3 linked regions of the Struthio camelus genome follow. The protein of the gene in region 1 interacts with the protein of each later gene in a pairwise test. Links are inferred from orthologs where the notes say so. Each region holds a gene or a part of one and is shown in the gene's direction. Other genes may lie near its edges.

Region 1 (5,940 bases):
CTGACTTCCTTTAAGGGCTCACACAGACGGTGGTGCTTGTTCCCAGAGGACCGTACCTGCAGCAGGGTGCACTTATGACCAGCTCTGCCCATGAGGCCTCTGTTCTTGCGACCTCGAACAAATTTTACCCCCTCCCCCCCGCCCAGCTGCCCCCTGAGCAAAGTGGAAGCGAAGGGCGAAGTAAAGTACTGTGAGTTCATAGGTGAAAGTGGTACCGCAGAACTTACTCTGTTGCAAGGATAGCACGCAGGATGTACCTGCAGTCAATTGGAGGAAATGCTACAGGGAACTGTAGGCTGGAAACGACCCCCAAGCCATGTGCTTGGCCCTTAGACCAGTGGTGGAAATGAAAAGAGTTCATCCCAAAGCGATAGGCACAAGTGATTTAAATTGCAAACCCACAATACCCTGAGTAGATGATTGCTGCCATACCGATGTGACCTAGAGGATCTCTGCGTTGCTGAATTGTGAAATGTAGGAAACGTGATATGAAAGAAAGGAGCGTGGAAGAAAAATAAGTGTAGAAAAAAGAAACTCAGATTTAAAATAATGTCACTTCAGAGGATGCCAGCAGGTGGGTAGCCTATTACGGAAGAAAATCTTACCAAAGTGCAAAGACAAGTATTTGAGGAATGCTTTGGTGTCCGTACATGGGAACTCCCGGCTGAACTCTGATGCAGGAACATTCTCTCACTACAGAACCATTCTTGTATTATCACTAACATAAAATTATGTTAACTTGTATAAGGTATTCCGATAATATTGAATTATTCAGATTTATATAAGGAGGATAAAATGCACCACTTGAACATAATTGCCCTACTGTGCATAACTGACAAACATTTCTACTGACTGGTTTGACATTATATTGGCTTCCTAAGCTATGCTTGAGAAACCCAGCTCACTTCTCACTGCTGAATCTTCTCACTTCCAATGTTTTCAAGTCATCCTGTTTGCTGTTATCCTAACTAAGCAAACCATGTGCTGCCCACAGATGTTACTCGTATTTGCTAATCTGGTATTTATGTTGTCATTTATTCTTTCTCCTAAGGTTACTGCATACTATGTCCTGTAAATCTCATTGTGAAGTAAGATGCTTAGCCCTACCGACAGTTAAAATGAAACACTGCTCTCTCCACAGCAGGGTCTGAGAACCAAGCAGGCACTGGAGAAGTCAGTACTGGTCCTGTACAGAACGGACTGTACAGTCCCTGATGCTGTGAACGGCTTCACAAAGACAGTCCCAGCTAGTACCTCTGCAATAATTAGGCCGAAAGGCAGCCAGCTGGCACAGTAAGAAAGAAGTGAGGTACAACTTTTTCATGCCCCTGGCATCTGAAAGGTTCGACAACTGTCTTTCTCTCTTGTGCTGCTTGGAACAGAAGGCACATTAATACTGTGCTTCAATTCTTCAAAATCCTTGTACTGATAATAGATATATTGAAAGGAAATAACTATCTCAAACGTGTAATATTAGGTGATTCTAGCTCCTGCATGCTGTGGGTCAGTCTCCTATCCTTAATGTTTTGCTCATGTTAACTCTGTTATAATAACTACACAGTGAAGTCATGTTCAGTTTCCAGGCTTTTTATTAGGAAATACATTTTTTTGGTAGCTCTGATATTAGGTCTGAGATAGATTCTGCTTCTTAGCCAGAGAAGTCATCAAGGCTGGTGGTTTCTGTTTTCGGTGTTATGTTTTCCCCTCCTCCCTATTTTAGGGATATGTAAATAGGCAAAAATACTTATGTAGCTTCAGGTGCAAGTGCATCTTCATCGCCAATGCAATACATGTATTTGCATTGTGTATGTGTGTTTCTCTGTTGTCCACCCCACCCTCCAATGCCTTTAGACTTTTTGGAAATTTAATATCTCTGGAAGTGTCCCAGGACTGAATTAATATTTTGTGTTTGTTAGTGAAAAGAACAGGCAAAAAGGCAGGATGGCTCAAGAGAAATGAGGATGTGGAAATGGAAATTGCCACATCTGAGGGGGAAGCAAAATGCAGATCGCTCCAAGTGTACACGGACAGTGACTGTATAATCTCCATCCCAGAACACTAAAAGAACTGGAGCATGAAATTGCAGGTCTAGCAGCAATGATCTGTGCGTATCTCTCAGTGCAGGAGCGCTGCCATGTCAGTCGAGAATAACAAATGAGAAGGGAGGGAACGTGATCCGGTCCACGGCAGACCTGTCTCTCTGATCTAAATAACGCGCAGGGCTCAGCGCGTGTTTTGCACATCAGAGGGCCTGGAACTGAATGAACGCAGTATAAAATGCGACCCACGCTTAGCAAAGGTAGATCGTAACACGCTCGCCTCCTACTTCCTTTTTCTTGCAAGGCAGATGGCTTCGCAGATAACGGCAGCGCAGTGAATCAGGTCTCTCTGGATGTCGGCCGAACCGCGGATACAGAGCCATAGGGAAAGTTCCTAGTTCAGGATGGTAAAGCAGGTGCAGAGCTCACTAAAGGAGAGGAAAACGGGGGGCGGCAAGAGGTGCTGAAAGAAGGAAGCTAGGGATGGAGTCGCGAAGGAAGGAGTTTTGAGCTCAGCCCGGCTTTGGACCTTCTTCATAAGGAGTGAAAGCCGGGGGCCGTCCCTGGAGGAGAACAGGGCGCAGCTCCTTCGGGAGGAGCTGGGCGCCTCTGCGAGCCGCAGCAGCGCCGGCCGCGCGGACCGCCGGGCCGAGAGCTGCTGCCCAGCGCGGCGGGCGGGCAGCGGGAGGCAGCCAAGGGGGGGCCGGGGCCGGGGCCGCGAGGGCCGAAGGGAAGGCGGCGGTGCCCAGGAGGCACCCCCAGCGCCAGCCGCAACGGCAGGCCGGGGCCCCGCCCCCTCGCCCCGGCCCCGCCCCGCGCTGACGCACGGCAGGGGCGGGGCGCGGCGCGGCGCGGCGCGTGCCTGCGTGCGTGCGTCCGCGCGTGCGGGGCGGGGCGGGGCCTGGCCTGCCCTGCCGGGAGGGGGAGGGCGCACGGGAGGAAGGAGGAAGCCGCCATCTTGGAGCGTCGAGTCGCCATAACAAGGCACCAAGGGGGAGCGAGAGGATTTTATACCTGAGCGAGGGGGGAGCGCGGCTGGTGGCGGTGAGGACGGGCCAGGGCGCCGGGGCGGGCGCGGGGCCGCGGGGAGCGCAATGGAGGCCGCCGCCGCCCGGCCGAGCCTCGCGGCCTGCGCCGCGTCGCGGGAGCGGCGGGGCCTGGCCCGGGCCTGGCGGCGCTGAGGGGCCGCGGGCCGGGCGGCTGCGGCCGGGGCGGTGCGGGAGGCGGCGGCGGCGCGGCGGCGGCCGCGGCGCTCGCTGCCGGCCCGAGCGGCGGGGCCGCGGGCGAGCGGGCGCTTCTCCATTGTTCGCGGGCGGGAGGTGCCGGTATGGCGCAGCTGCGTTGCGCGGGCGGCGCGGCCCCGCCGCCGGGCCCGGGGCGACGCCGCGCTGCGGCCTGGCCCGGGGTGGCGGCAACAATGGGCGCCGCGGGGGTTCCCGCGGCGGGGCCGGCTGGGCGGCCGCTTTGTGCCGCCCGGCTGGGCCGCGGAGCGGTGTGTCGTATCTGCTGCCGGCGGAGGAGGGAGCGGCCGGGGGGCGGCTGCCGCGCCTGCCTACGTGGGCTGCCTCGGCAGGGGAAGCCCGGGGTGCGGGGGCCTCTTTGCGGTCGGACCGCCAGTTTGTGAAATGGTGGCGCTGCTTGTTTTGGACGTGGAGGTGTGCCGGGCCTGGGGAGGTTGTGTGCTGCCTTTCAAAGGATGAGCACGAACGAGGGAGGCTAGAGGACTAGAACTCCCTTTAATAAAAACATTGGAGGAACTCTTGTTGGTGTATCCGGAGTTTTTAGGTGACTCGTCCGTTTGGGTGTGAAAGTAAGGTTAAGGGGGGCTGTCTTTTCAAAGAAGATGTTTAAACCGTGCTTCTAGCCAGGAAACTAACTAGGAAATAATCTTAATTCTAATAAGCTTGAAGTTATGCTATGAAGCTATAATCAATACGCTGGGAAACAGCTGAACAATTCGAGAAGAGTTTGAATTCCGTTTCTATCTGCTTTCCTAAGTATAGTATTTATGTCACTTTAAACTTCAGATGCCAGTATCTGTTTTAAATCTGTGTTTTAGTCGCTGAGGAGTATGCATTTTTTTGGACGTTGAACTTGGCAATCATCAGCCTGCTGGTTTTCCCTTTGTATTGTCCCAAGATGCAGATGCTTTGCAATGAGAAATGTTACCTGCAAGCCTACTTTCTGTTCCTCTAAAAAAGTTTTAGACTAGGGAGTGTCTTGGCTCCCTATTACCATCATAAGAAGAGTTTTTCAACTCTGGCCATGTACGTGCTATATGTAAGATACAAGCTTTATATTATCTGCATATGTTTTTGTCGACTCTTTTGTTAAGTATGACGTCACTGTCAAGTTACGCATTCGAATGTTATCTTTTGAGCGCGGTATGGATTGTTAGTGACAGCTGGAATGTAACGTCATGCAGCACACAAGCAGGAAGCTGCGTACCTAGTGTACATGTGTTTATTCATTGCTTCAGACTAGAGATGAAAGAACAGTTTAGGTGCAGTCATTTAGACTTAACAAAGCAGGAAGCTGCTGTCAGTTCAGCTTGATGATGTCATAAGTTTTGCTCTTCTGAATGATTTATAAATGTTTAAGTTGGGTATTGGTTTAAAGTAAGCTGACTAAACTAATTTTTGGGGGTGGATGAGGGAAAACTTCCAAGTCACTCCTGTAGTTGGTTGGGTTTTTAAGATGGTATGTCATCATTCCTATTTCTAGTTGAAAGGACAAGTCAGAGTATCTTAAGGGTCTTTTGAATTCTGCCTATAATGTCCATTCGATATTGTGGTCTTACTTTCTGTCATAAACTTCTGTGTGATGTTGTTGCTTAGTGTTTTATGGCTGCTCTGCTGTGTCCCAAAGGTGGGTGCATTTCAAGGATAGGCAAAGCAGCTGATATAATTCATGCCTACTTTACAAGGGGGCTAGGTAGTATTTTTCAAGTGATTAATCCCAGGAAGGCTGCTGAAAGTTCACAAAATGATCTCCGGTGACCTACAGTGTTGCACTCAGCTTTATAGCAAGGGAAAACAGTTTGGTGTGTTTGGGGTACTTAAACCGAGGAAATAGAAAAGCAGGTACTTTGTGTTGCATGCTGCCTGAGAAGAAGTGATTTTTAGGTAATGCATGTTATTGCAGGCAGTTTTACAATATAAACAGATGCAAATTCCATAGGCAAGAAATCCACATATTAATTGTTGTCATCTGCTTCTTTTTCAGATTGAAGCAAGTGAATTTGGATATAACTCAACTTTGTTAGAGGGCTTTTTTTAAAAAAAAAAAAGTTGATCCACAGTGCATCAGAGCAAGTTACTGCTTTACTTTTGAGTGACTTACAGGTGCTTGCCTGCATTGCAATAAAGGACTCATATATTGAGCAAGACTTATTTATCTCTTCATTTTGGAGAGTCTAATAAACTGTTATTACAGTTTCTGTACTGACTTTCAAAGTTTTGAAGTCTAAAAAGACATCTTTAAAAATAAAAACATGAGCACGGCCAGAACAGAGAACCCTGTTATAATGGGTCTATCCAGTCAGAATGGGCAGTTGAGAGGCCCTGTTAAACCCAGCGGGGGCCCAGGAGGTGGAGGCACACAGACTCAGCAACAGATGAACCAGCTGAAAAATGCCAACACAATCAATAACGGCACTCAACAGCAAGCACAGAGTATGACCACCACTATTAAGTAAGTATTCATGTAAATACTAAATAACGTTAGCTGACGTAAAAATAACATTTAAATTTCATGCATGGGAAAGTGTAATTGGTTTCTTGTATTTAAAAAGTTTTTTATTCTATTGTTTTATGATATTGGTGACAGAGGTGTCCTGTGACATGCATTTAAAAAAAGAAAGGATTTTCAGGTGTGAGCGTCTCTCTGACAGTGGTCTTTA
Region 2 (5,940 bases), on another chromosome or scaffold:
GCTGAAAAGAGAGGGAAAAAAAAAAGCAAAAAGGAGAAGAAAAAACAGAAAGGACTAGGGAGAACTCGTTCTAAAAAAGATCCTGAGAGAGTCTGGAGAACAGTTTTGCTGGTGATCCAGTTTTCCTGCAGAACAAGAGATAGAGAGGAGAAAGTAAATGATAGCAAGGAGAGAAAATTCAGTAATTGTTGCGAAGAGTCTGAACTCCAGAGAGGCAGCTGGTTTTCAGAGTGAAAGAGACTCATTGAAATAAGCAGCCAGAGCACTACAGCAATGAGAAACTGAACAGTAGAGAAATTACAAACAAGTACAGGCTACCATAGTTTGTATGCTCTTGCATCTCTCTTAATCCCTTATCTTTCCATTGACATTTCCTGGGCTAGGTTTAGAGGAATGATCCTTCCAAGATGGACACTGTTTATAACATGGTCATAATGGAAAAATACATTGCTTCCTCCGCTTGCAGTATTTTTTTCTGAGGCTCCTTGTCAGGACAATAACAACATTATTCCTATGGTCTTGCTTTAGTACAGAGATAGTCTAGCTGTACTACTGATTTTAGTTAGAAATAATATATTCAAAAATGGTTTTTTAACCAAAACAGAAACACTCAAGATGGCATCTAAACACTAAGTAATGTATGTGATGTTTGCTAGTGCTTTTAGAATAAATGATGTCATTTGAATTTTGTTCTACTAGAAAGCCTGCATGAATCTGTGCTTAAATTTACAAATGTGGACTGTATTTCTTAATTTAAAATGCGTATTAAAGGAACAGTTAAGCATAGTAACCCAAAATTTGGCCTGCCCTGGATGTTTTGGATCTTTGGTGTGCATGTGGCCGTTCTTTTCCACTATATCCTTCTTCTCTGTTTCCAGCAAAGGGTAGGCAGTGAGAAGTTTACAAGGCAGCAGAATACTTGTAAATGTCAACATTCAACCTGTTCACCAGAGCTGAGCAAACTGGTACGACCAGAAAGTTACATACTCATGAGAGGTGGGCGCGGGCGGAGGGGGAAGCAAGCGAGAGAGGACAAAAAAAAAAAAAAAAGGATCATGGATAGTTTCTGTAGGGTTCAGTAGGAGTGGACTTTTAATTCCAGTGATGTTGCAGGCCTCGTAATTTGGGGTAGCAGATGGGATCAGCCACATCAGTCATGATAACATCTTTTATGTTGCAACCTCCGTGTAGAGGTGGCTCCTATGACTGCAGATGTGGCCCCTTGCAGAACTGGCCCACAGAGTAGAAACAGGGAAATTCAAATTTCAAAACCAGATTTTGTTTTGCTTACCAGAGCTCGTGGAGGAGGTGGAGGAAATGCGGATACCTCATCATGGCTTATTTGGCAGGCAAACTAAACATGTTCAGAGCTGTACAACACGGAGGGAAAGCACCCCTGTTCCTGACCGTATACAATTTGAAAGCAGCACGCAGGAGGCAGAGCACACAGGGCAATTCAGAGGACGCAGCTGCGGTGCATTTATTTACTGTAGGTCTCTCCGGTTCGAAGCGATAGGTAAGAACAACAGGCACTAACGGACGGGAACAAAGCCAAAGACTTGGCAGGGGTCGCTCCCCGCTGCGAGCCCCGCGGGTCTCCCACGGCAGTGCCAGTTGGGTACGATTTGATTTTTCAGGGCTTTCACTAGGGTAACTCAGAGCCTATCAGGGTGACACAGAGGCCCAGTCACCCTGTTACTCGAGGGGTCCCGAGGGAGGCAGCGGCCGTTGGCGCTAACGGCCGCGGGGCGGGGGGCCGGACCGGCGGCGTTGTCCAAGGTCTTGAAAGTGGGGACGGCGAGCCGTGCGGGGTAGGCGACGTGCCGCCGGGCTGCCCAGGGCACCGCGCCCACCCCACCTGTTGCTCGCTTCCATTCATCAGCCGGCAGCCCCGTCGCCGGGCCCCGCGGCGCACCGCGGAGCCCGGAGCCGGCGCGCAGACCCTTTCCGCGGGCGCCGCCGCCGGGCCGGCTGAAAGCCGTGGGGGGGGGGGGGGGGGGGGGAGGGAAGGAGGTGGTGGGCACGCTGACGGGGCGGGGCCTGGTGTTTTGGTTGCGCGACAGCGCGTGTGGCCAATGCGGAGTTCGCGTTCCCCCGGGGCCGAGCCGGCGGAGCCAATGGGAGGCGGGGCCGGGAGAAGGGGTGGGGCTGGAGGGTGTGTGAGGGATAGCGAGAGCGTGTGTGTCGGTGCCCCTCCCTCCGCCTCTCTTCCCTGTCCGGCGGCTGAGGCGCACTCGAGACCCAGCGCCGGGGAGAGCGCGAGGCGAGAGAGGGAGCGAGCGCGCCAGCCCTCAACGGGCGCTCCCCCCCTCCCCCCGTTCCGTTAACGGCTCCGCCGCCCCGCGGGCGGTTTGTCCCGCGGGAGGGGCGCGGAGCGCGGCCGCTCGCAGGGAGCAGCGCGGGGAGGGGTGAGGCGAGGAGCCTGCGAGAGTGTGTGTACGTGAAGAGGGGGGCGATGGGGATCCTGCGGCGAGAGCAGCCACAGCCGGGGCAGCAGCAGGTAAGGAGCGGCGCCTGCCACCGCGTCCGTGCCCCGCGGGAGGAGGGTGTGCGGGGCGGGGGGAGGGGGCGGGCGGGATGGGACGGGTGGCTGAAGGAGAGCGGAGCGTGCCGGTGCTTTCCTTCCCGAGAAGGGCTCGGGGGGTGGGGGGGAGGGATGGGGAGAGTCTGGGCAAGGGGAGCCGGTGGGAATGGGCCCTTCTCCTCTCCCTTCCCCTCTGGTACCTTTGAGGGACCCCCGGCTGTGGGGGAGGCAGTCCCGGCTTCTCCAGGGGCTCCGCGGGGTGCCCCAGCTGGGAGGACGGCAGGCTGCGGGGCGAGGAGGTGGGAAGCGGCGGGTCTGCCGCCCTGCGGAGCCGGGAGAGGAGCCCCCTCCCCCCCCCCCCCCCCGTTTGGGCCGCGTCTCCCCCCGCCCCAGCGCGCCGCTCCGCTCTCGCCGCCGCGCCGGAGCGCGATCGCTTTGCTCCCGCACGTCGCCTTTATAAATAGCGTTGTGACCTGCTAACTAACTAATACCCGCGAGGGTGGCTGTGGGGGCGGCACGGGTGTAAATCGGGTCGTCAGTCTCTTACAGACTGGCTCTGCGACCGGCTCTAGCAGCTCTGCGTGTAGTCACGTTGTTTCGGGCTTTGAAGCCCACTTAAGGAATAATGGCAATTACGGAGTAAGTTTGTCTTCGTAGGACATCTCTGGGCTGTGGCTTTGTTTTTTCTACCGTGAAAACGGTAGAATGGGGACCACCAACCATATAATATAGCAGAGAGAAAGATTCTTTTGCCCGTGTCGTTTTCTTAAGTGATTTTAATGCAATTTGTTTACTCTTTCTGAGACTCAGCTGTATTATCAGCTGTATTCTTTGCACTGTTGCCTTGTAACGCTTTGCTGTGTGCTCGGTGATCCATTCTCCGAACTTTGTGTTTGGTTTGTTCAATGATAGTCAGCTGAGATCAACTTTGCTTTAGATTTTCTTTTTTTCTGGTTACATAGCTCATCTGTGGCGCTACACAATGTTTTGCGTAGAAGGTACATGTCCGCATGAATGCGGAACTAGTGTTCAGCCTGCTCTTGACAAAGACTGCTCTGAAGTTGACAAATTTCAGATGTGACTATTAACATTCACAAAATAGGCCGGTAAGCTAGTTTAGTATTTGATGCTGGATTATTTTAACATGTTAGTAGTTAGAATATTTGCTTTCAGCCTTGCTTTTCTGGCAGAAACTAGTTTTATTACTTCAGATGCAGAAGACTTGCAAAGTTAAAGAGAATTGCTCGTATAAATTCTTCTAAACTCTTTTGTGCGCTATTTTCACTTCTAAAAGTTAACGCTAGATGGCTTGCTTATCTCAGACATCCAACAGAGGAGGAAGGCCTCTAATCCGTCTCTGCAGCCTAGCATTCTATATTGGTCTATTTTTTTTCTTCCCATGAATACTACACTACCTTCTTGATCAGTTCTGCGCCGATTAGACCACAGCACAATGTAAAGTTTGCTTGCTAGCTGACATAATTTGTTGTTTTGATCAGTGCTTCTTACTGTTTATAGATACCATTTTATATGGTACTGCCGATATCTAAAGCAAGTTTGTTTAGTCAGAAGATAGTTTTGAAAAATATTTAGGTTATTTTAAAGGAAGGCAGCTGGATGGGAAGGGATGTTTGTAAATGGAATGGAACAATAATTCAGTCTGTTATTACTTAGCTTGACAGGCTTGTCTTCCTTTAAAAAAGGACCACAGTGTATTAAAATATGCTTGTTCAGCTATTTTTTCCTAGATTCTTTACCTGACTATTTTAGAGTGATCAATTTTGGGCTTGGACTGAGAAACCTAATGCACTACAGCCTGCTGGATATAAGAATTTGCCTAGGCCTGATGCAATTTATTTTCTGTGTTTCTCCCGAACTATGAGTGGACTGAGCGGAATACAATATTTGCCCCTGTATTTGCTTCTTTTGATAGTATCTCTGGGATAATTGAATCTTAAATCTGATCTTTGAGATATCTTTTATTATTGATGCAAAAATGTTTAAATCATCAAGAGGTATAATGCGTTATGGATATTTAAACGTCACTTAGACTCCACAACAATTGATTTATAATTTATGTAGCTTGCAGATAAAGTAAGATCACAGAGAGGTCTCTGAATCTATTGTCTTTATTTTACATGCCCAGTGAGTTACTTTTCCAGGTCATGCAGCACTTAGGTGTAACAGGAAGGAATACTTACTTGTAAGGATGCCAGACTGTTTCACCAATCATATTGGATCAATTAAAGATCATATCATTCATATATACCAAGGGTATAATGTGAAACCTAGAATTAAACAAAACCTCAATTATTTGTAGCTGATATTTGCTTACTATGCAAATCAGAATATTTTTAGAGGTTTATATTCTCTTTTCCTGAAAGAAAGATAATCTAGTCTTTTTTGTAGACATTTAATGATCCACACCATTCCTTAAGCACGTTGTGAAATACACTTGCAAATGTAGAGAGCTAAATGAGAAATTAAGCAAGCCAGCAGTCAAAGCAACCAAAACCTTCCATTTCTTCTGCTGTCTGATGACCTTTACAAGTGAACTGAGGCAGTTCTTTTTTTTTTTTTTTTTTTTTTCACTTTCAGCTTCATATTGGATGTATTAGTCAAGCGTTGCACCTAGGATTTTTATGTGCAGATCAGCAGTTCTACCTGCAGGAGAAAGTAAATATTTTCTCCTTGCCTTGACTAGGATTAAAATTATATTTAGATAGCTGAATATTAAAGTATTTTCAGTAGATTCATAGCTTTTACAGATGAGTGATCTAGTTTGCTAATAATGAGTGAGAAATGCTATATTATTATTAAAATATAAGATCCAAGTTACAGATAGTGATTTGTGGAAAGAGGGTGGGGCACTGGGTTATCTAATTTCTCATGTTAGTCATCCAAGATTGCCAACAGTAGCTGTGTTGACAGTTTGAAATGGAATCACGTTTTGATGAATGTACCTTTCTCTCTGAATGTAGTTTTTGCTTTGCAGTTTGAAATGTTTTATTGCCCTATTATATTTATGCTCAGACTTGACCGGTGATTGGGCAAGCTGGGTTTGAATCAGTGAACGAAAGAGGAGATGGCTGTGTGTGTTTTATATGTTGCAGTATTGTACTCAAAGTCAGAATTTTTGCTATGTTAGGTAACATAATTTGTATCTAACTCTTTAAAACATTGCTTCTTGCAAGCTTAAGAAAATTAAGCATTAGTAGTCATTCAGTTTATCTAAAAGGAAATTTAATTCTCTAATACATCTGAACAAATCAGACTGTTGAGGCTAGGGGTGTCCTTCTTACCATCTTTTTTTTTTATTTGTTTTTTAACTCCCCTTTTTTCTGCCTGGATTATCTGGGGAATCATTTGGAGAATTGTCTGCCAAAGCCAACTACTTATCAGAATTCATGAAGACA
Region 3 (5,940 bases), on another chromosome or scaffold:
ATCTAAAGGAAATTACTATGAACTACTTAAGGTCAAAAAGTGTTGTTCAGCCAATTTGCAAAGACGTTCATTTGTCCTGAAAGACAGTCAGCAGTGGTAGAAACTTGATGGTTCCTTCACCATTCTTACAGCTGGACTTTTTCCTGACGCAGAGGAGCCAACTTGGCTCCTCCTGTTTATATAATTCATTGCAGTGGCGGTTTCTCTCATTGCCTGTATTGACTTGCTTTGGACTACAGGTAAATGTGTTACATGCCAGGAGAGCCACTCTAAATTCAACTTATTTCAGTGCAGAAAGGAATCATGACCAAAGACATGGTGTTTGATTCTGGTATTCTCCAGCCTTGACAAGAAACATCTGCTGCCACAGACTAAAGCAAACGCAAATACAACATGTCTGCAAAGGCACACTGGAGAAAAGCAAAGCACATACTAAACAAATCTCACAGTAGTTTGTATGTAGTATTTACTGGGATACAAATAAACTTCATCCAAGGCTGAAAAATTATAAAGTTGGCATGAGAAGAGGCCAATGCACACACGACATGTCCACAACTTTCAGGCATGACATGATAAGGTCTTCTGTGGCTTGCAGAAAGGAATATCGTATGCGTTATGAGTGAACGCAGTATGAATAAAATGTGAAAGATTGTTTTGTCCTGTCTTTCCTTTTTCTGTCTGTTTGCTTATGGCTACAGCCTCTTTCCTTTCTTGTCCAAATTCCTTTTGCTTCTTTGGGAGAAATCAGTTAGATAATGCCAGCCCCATAGCCATCTGACAACTAGGATGGATGACGTTTAAGACTAACAAAGCATAGACCAAATACCATGAGAACATTTTGCCTTATTTTCTAAAAAGATTTTAATATGTATGACAGCAATGATAAGAATATTGCCTAAGAACTGGGACAGGGCACAACAGTATCTGAGATGTAAGTAAAACCTATCCTGCTTGCTTTGCCGAGACTGAGGGAGAGGAAAGGGAACCGACAGTGGAACTGACAAACTCCACCGGACTGAGCACAATTTAGAAAGAATAAGCACAGCTAATTGCAAGTTAGTAGTAGCTAGTAGCCAGTTTCCAGTGGTTCTGTAAATTCAGGGATAGCAGTGTATGAGAATTAACCAAAGGACAGCTGTACCAGCTCATCTAACCCACTATCCTGTTTACAATAGCAGTCAAAAGCAGTTGCTCTGTGGAAGAATATGGCAAGCATACAGCAATACTTTTACCTGACTTTTAACTGTAGGAGGTTTATGACTCGGGGATTTCCTGAGATACAGGACATTTCTGTGAGCAAATATCAGGTCTCTCTCATGAGCTGGTCCAGTATCCCACATAACACTCCAACTTTTCGTGTCCACAACAGCCTGTGGCAAGAAATTCCAGTGTCTAACTACAAGTTATCTGAGGAACCACTTGTGATTTTATAGACTTTCATCTTACCTCATCTGCCTCAATTTTTTTCTGGTTTGGAGATTCCACACAGCATAGACATTTGCACAAAGCTGTTCCAGACCTTTTATCATTTCTCTTTCCCTTTTCAGGCTCCTGTGTATCCTCTTTGAGATGAGTGACACCTGGACTGTACAGAGTATTCAACGTGCAGGTATGCACCACTGAATAATGTAAGAACTGGAAGAAGTTGGGAACTGGGGTTATGCTGAGTTACCCTGAAAGGGGAGTGATGAGGAGGAAGAGAGTTACTAATGGTCCCCTGGACCAGCTTTGGAATCAGTTCAGCTAATACATTATTTAGACTTTGATGTAAAAGTACAATACAATCTTATGACATTTGCAGATGATACAAATTCTAAGGAATTGTCAATACCACGCAAAATGGAATTTACAGGAATTTACAGATTAAAGTCTTTTTGGACTGCACTGACAGAAATGTGGAAAATTTAACAGTACAAAATGCAAAAAGTATGACTTTAGATAGAAGAATACATATTACAAGCTACTGGACACAACCGAAGACTAGAGAGATGTATCCACTGATCACACGATGATTATGAAGTAGTATTGTGACATGGCTGGAAAAGGCTGGTCAGCTGTAGGATACAGCAGATTCAAATGTTTTCAGTTGTCGGAGAATTAATATCATTGTCCAGGGCCCTGAACAGTGTCATGTCAAATACTGTTCAAGCTCTGATCACTTTTATGTTCAAGAATGATTAATTTAAACTGGCAGGTCTTATGAAAGATTTAAGAATGCGGCCTGCATATTAAAGTTTGAAAGGAGATGGAATCCACAAAACGAGGGAAGGTTATTAAAAAGGGTGAATTAAGTTGACAATAAATATTGTTACAACATATATGGATATAAATTGGGTATGACTAAATTTATAGGATATCCTGAGAGAATGTTTTTGACTATGAGAGGAAAGAGTCTGTAGATAACTTTCCCTTTTCCCCACAGTGGGGAAAAGGAACTTAAATTGTTTCAAGATGGAATGTCTTAAGTTTATGGAAGGGAGGGCTAAAAAGGACACAAAGGATATGGTTAAGGCAGAACGGCTCCCATGGGAGAAGAAGTATTTATGAGAAATATCTGGGGTGTCAGAGCACAGAAAATACCCTGGTGGTAAGAACAGGAAAGAGAAAGATTCCAAACTTCAAGTGAGACAAGGTGAGAGGCTTGGGTGGAAGGATTTCAGATATTATGGTTTCTTCAGAAGATAACGGAGACATGCAAAAACAGAGGAACACTACATCTCCTCTTGAGGAAGCCGCAGGCATATGAAGGAAGGATTTGGGTCATCAAGGCCCCTGCTATAGATAAAGGTGTGAGAAGGAAACATCTAGGGCATCACATCCCCTCTTGGGTAGCATGTGGGTGTGAGAGGAGGGAAGCAGCCCAGACTGCAGGGCGATCAGGCAGAGGAAGCTGCTGGGCTGTGCCTGCAATCGGTGCGTTGCCCCTTTAATTGTGTCCCCAGCCCTCGGGCGTCTCTGTCCAACGCCCACGTCAGCAAATACCTTTTGTTTCTCTCACGTTCGGGCTTCCAGGGTTTGGGGCTGCGGGACCAACACATTGCCTTAAACCGCAAAGAGCCCCGACGCGGGGGCCGGGGATCCCGCATCCACCGCCTGCTCCTCTCGGCGAAGCGGCAGCGGCGGCGGCAGCAGCCACCCGCAGAACCCAGCCGGTAAGTGGCGGCTCTCGCACGCCGGCAGGCCAGACAGGGCGTTGGGATTTGGGGGCGGAAAGGGCCCCAGAGCGAGCCTGCTGCGAGGGGCGGCGAGGGACGTCCCTCGGCTCCGCAGTCCCCGCTGGGCGGCCGGCGCGCTCCCCGCCGCCGCTCGGAGCCGCTCGTTACCCGGGCTGCACAGCGCTGGGAGAGACCTAAGCGGGCGCCATTTGCAGCCCCGGGCGCGGCTGCGAGGAGCCAGGCACGGCAACAAAGGGCTGCGCGGGAGCGGGAGCTGGGCAGCGGGTGTGGGGCGAGAGGGGCCGCGGCAGGGGGCGGGCAGGGCGCTGCCGGCGCGGCGGAGGCGGCGGGCAGCGGCGGCAGGAGCTGCTGGGGCCACGCCGGGCGCCAGGCGCCGGGCTGCCGCCGCGCGGCGGAGCCCCCGCGGGGCCGGGGGAGCGGGAACCGCGGCTCCGGCAACGCGAGCGGCTCCGCGGTCGCTCCGGCTGCGGCCCCGGCGCGCCTGGCGCGGTGTCCCGGTGGGCGCGCGCAGCCGCCCGGAGCCCTGGCGGGCGCTGACGCTGCGCTCCCCGCGGCAAGCGGCGGCGGCGGCAGCAGGACCGGGGGCGGCAGCCCGCGCAGCCAGGCGGTGCCGAGGCGCCTTGGCGGGCGGGCCTTGCGCCGCCGGGCGTCCCGGGCTCCCGAGGGTCGAGCGACCAATTCGGCCGGGCGGGCGGGTGAGTGACGGCGACCGCTACCAATGCTGGGGGAGCCCGGGCCGGGAGGGCTGCGGCTGCTGAGGGCTCCGCCGCTGACTACCCATTTCTGGTCCCTTCGGAGGCGAGGATATGAGCCCAGCCGGACCAGGGCGATGTGATAACGTCAACTCAAGGCATGGACACACTCTTCAACCGAGACACTCGCAACTGCTGAAGGGCTCGTCGTCTTGTTGCTGACTGTCTGAAGGTTGTACAGCTTCCAGCGAGTTGCACACATCCTTAGGAAGTAGATGCTCCTAGCTGTAGCACACGCATCTCTGCCAAATAACGTGTATGGGTTTATGTGGCTTTTTCTATTTTTGCAGTCTTTTCTTTTCAAAATAGAATGTATGGTTATGCATATTGTTATTTAAAAACATATATTTTAAGAAGGATTATTTTAAAAGATATCTGTAAAACTGGTGCAGTATCTTTGGCTGAGTTGTAGGATGCTGAACTCAAGACTTTAATTATGTTTTTATTTTAGAGCAACACTTCATTTCACCTTTTCTGGAATGGAGATTTCTTCCCACCAGTTTCACCTCCTGCAACAACTAAATGAGCAGCGCAGGCAGGACTTATTCTGTGACTGCAATATCTTGGTTGAGGGAAAGGTCTTCAAAGCACATCGAAATGTGCTGTTTGCCAGCAGTGGCTATTTCAAAATGCTCCTTTCACAGAGTTCAAAGGAGACTAGTCAGCCAACAACAGCTACTTTCCAGGCATTTTCTCCTGATACGTTTACAGTTATTCTAGATTTTGTGTATTCAGGCAAACTGTCCCTTACTGGTCAGAACGTCATTGAAGTCATGTCAGCGGCTAGCTATCTTCAGATGACCGATGTTATCAGCGTGTGTAAGACATTCATTAAGTCATCTCTGGACATCAGTGAGAAGGAAAAGGACCGCTACTTCAGTCTTTCGGACAAAGATGTAAATTCAAATGGCGTGGACCGCTCCTGCTTATATGGTGCTGGCTGGAGGGCAGAAAGCAGCCCCCCACATTCTCACTTAAATCCGGATCAAGGGACATGTATGATGGGTGGAAGTGCTTGGAGCAATTTCAACTACTATCCAACTTCTCAAAGAAATGCACAGCAACAGCTGTCCAAGCATGACCAAAGGCAGGATTCCATTAAAAAAACCAGGCACCTAGGACTGCAGCAATCTTCTGACATTCCTCACTATAAATCAAGCAAACTTGAGGACAGGGCTTCTGAGCCTGCTGGCCACGTTACTCAATCTGAGGAGCAAGTTCAGATTGAAACAGAAGTTGAATCTCCTCACGTGGGATACCAGTACGGTCAAGGGTCTGATGTGATACCAAGGAGTTTAGCTGTATCACAGCAAGAGCATGAATCACCTCGTTCTTCTGGCAAATCCAAGTCTTCAAAAGCAGACGAGCAGTATACGAGCATGCCCTCGATTCTAGGTGTCATGGGAAGCTGGGCTGAAGGTAAGAGTTGGTTTTAATGCTCTAAGTATAAGTACATAATCATCTGTTAATCGTCTGTTCTGTCAGTAAGAAAATATACATTGCTAAGAAAGTGTATATTGACAAAAGTTGGTCTGTATTGCCCAGAAATGTAACTTTGGAAAGTTTAACTCTTATTTTTTAATAATTATGAATGACAGAAATGTCTGTCTTAAATTTGTCTTGATAGCTGTATTAGTTTATTAAAACTAGCCTTTCAGAATGCATAACCTTTAGCGTCTCCACAGCTTGATCCTGCAAATATAAGTCATTAGTTTTTTTGGATTTTTAAAATCCATTTTAAAATAGCTAATGGACCGCTCCATTTTTTTTATTGCGCTCCTGTGTAATTAACAGGAAAATACAAGATCTTTGTATTTGAAAAGACCTATAATAATATTTTTTAAAAATAAAAATGGCTTGCCATTTTGCTCGTGTTGCTTTTCATAACTAGAATAACCTTTTCCTAGAATATTACATGACTAGACTTGTTATGACTTATAAAGTTTGTCTTAAATTATTTTCTCACAGATGATCTGCCCAGGATGAGGTTCAAGTGCCCATTCTGTACACAT

Evidence for each region.
Region 2: the proteins of DDX6 (region 1) and SIPA1L2 interact in binary tests that used the Homo sapiens proteins (3 or more experiments, as listed by UniProt). The two-hybrid records come from large-scale screens. The link is inferred for Struthio camelus from reciprocal best matches to the Homo sapiens genes DDX6 and SIPA1L2.
Region 3: the proteins of DDX6 (region 1) and zinc finger and BTB domain-containing protein 8A interact in binary tests that used the Homo sapiens proteins (3 or more experiments, as listed by UniProt). The two-hybrid records come from large-scale screens. The link is inferred for Struthio camelus from reciprocal best matches to the Homo sapiens genes DDX6 and ZBTB8A.

The regions. Positions count from the first base shown.
Region 1 is NC_090963.1:135,041-140,980, reverse strand, and holds the start of DDX6 (probable ATP-dependent RNA helicase DDX6), read left to right. Parts: upstream 1-2,949; 5' UTR 2,950-3,083; intron 3,084-4,098; exon of another isoform or gene 4,099-4,306; intron 4,307-5,264; 5' UTR 5,265-5,532; coding exon 5,533-5,732; intron 5,733-5,940.
Region 2 is NC_090944.1:90,414,107-90,420,046, forward strand, and holds the start of SIPA1L2 (signal-induced proliferation-associated 1-like protein 2), read left to right. Parts: upstream 1-2,144; 5' UTR 2,145-2,500; intron 2,501-5,940.
Region 3 is NC_090964.1:8,489,958-8,495,897, reverse strand, and holds the start of zinc finger and BTB domain-containing protein 8A, read left to right. Parts: upstream 1-2,923; 5' UTR 2,924-3,152; intron 3,153-3,214; exon of another isoform or gene 3,215-3,396; intron 3,397-3,962; exon of another isoform or gene 3,963-3,974; 5' UTR 3,975-4,143; coding exon 4,144-4,184; intron 4,185-4,379; coding exon 4,380-5,347; intron 5,348-5,896; coding exon 5,897-5,940. UniProt on the Homo sapiens protein: May be involved in transcriptional regulation.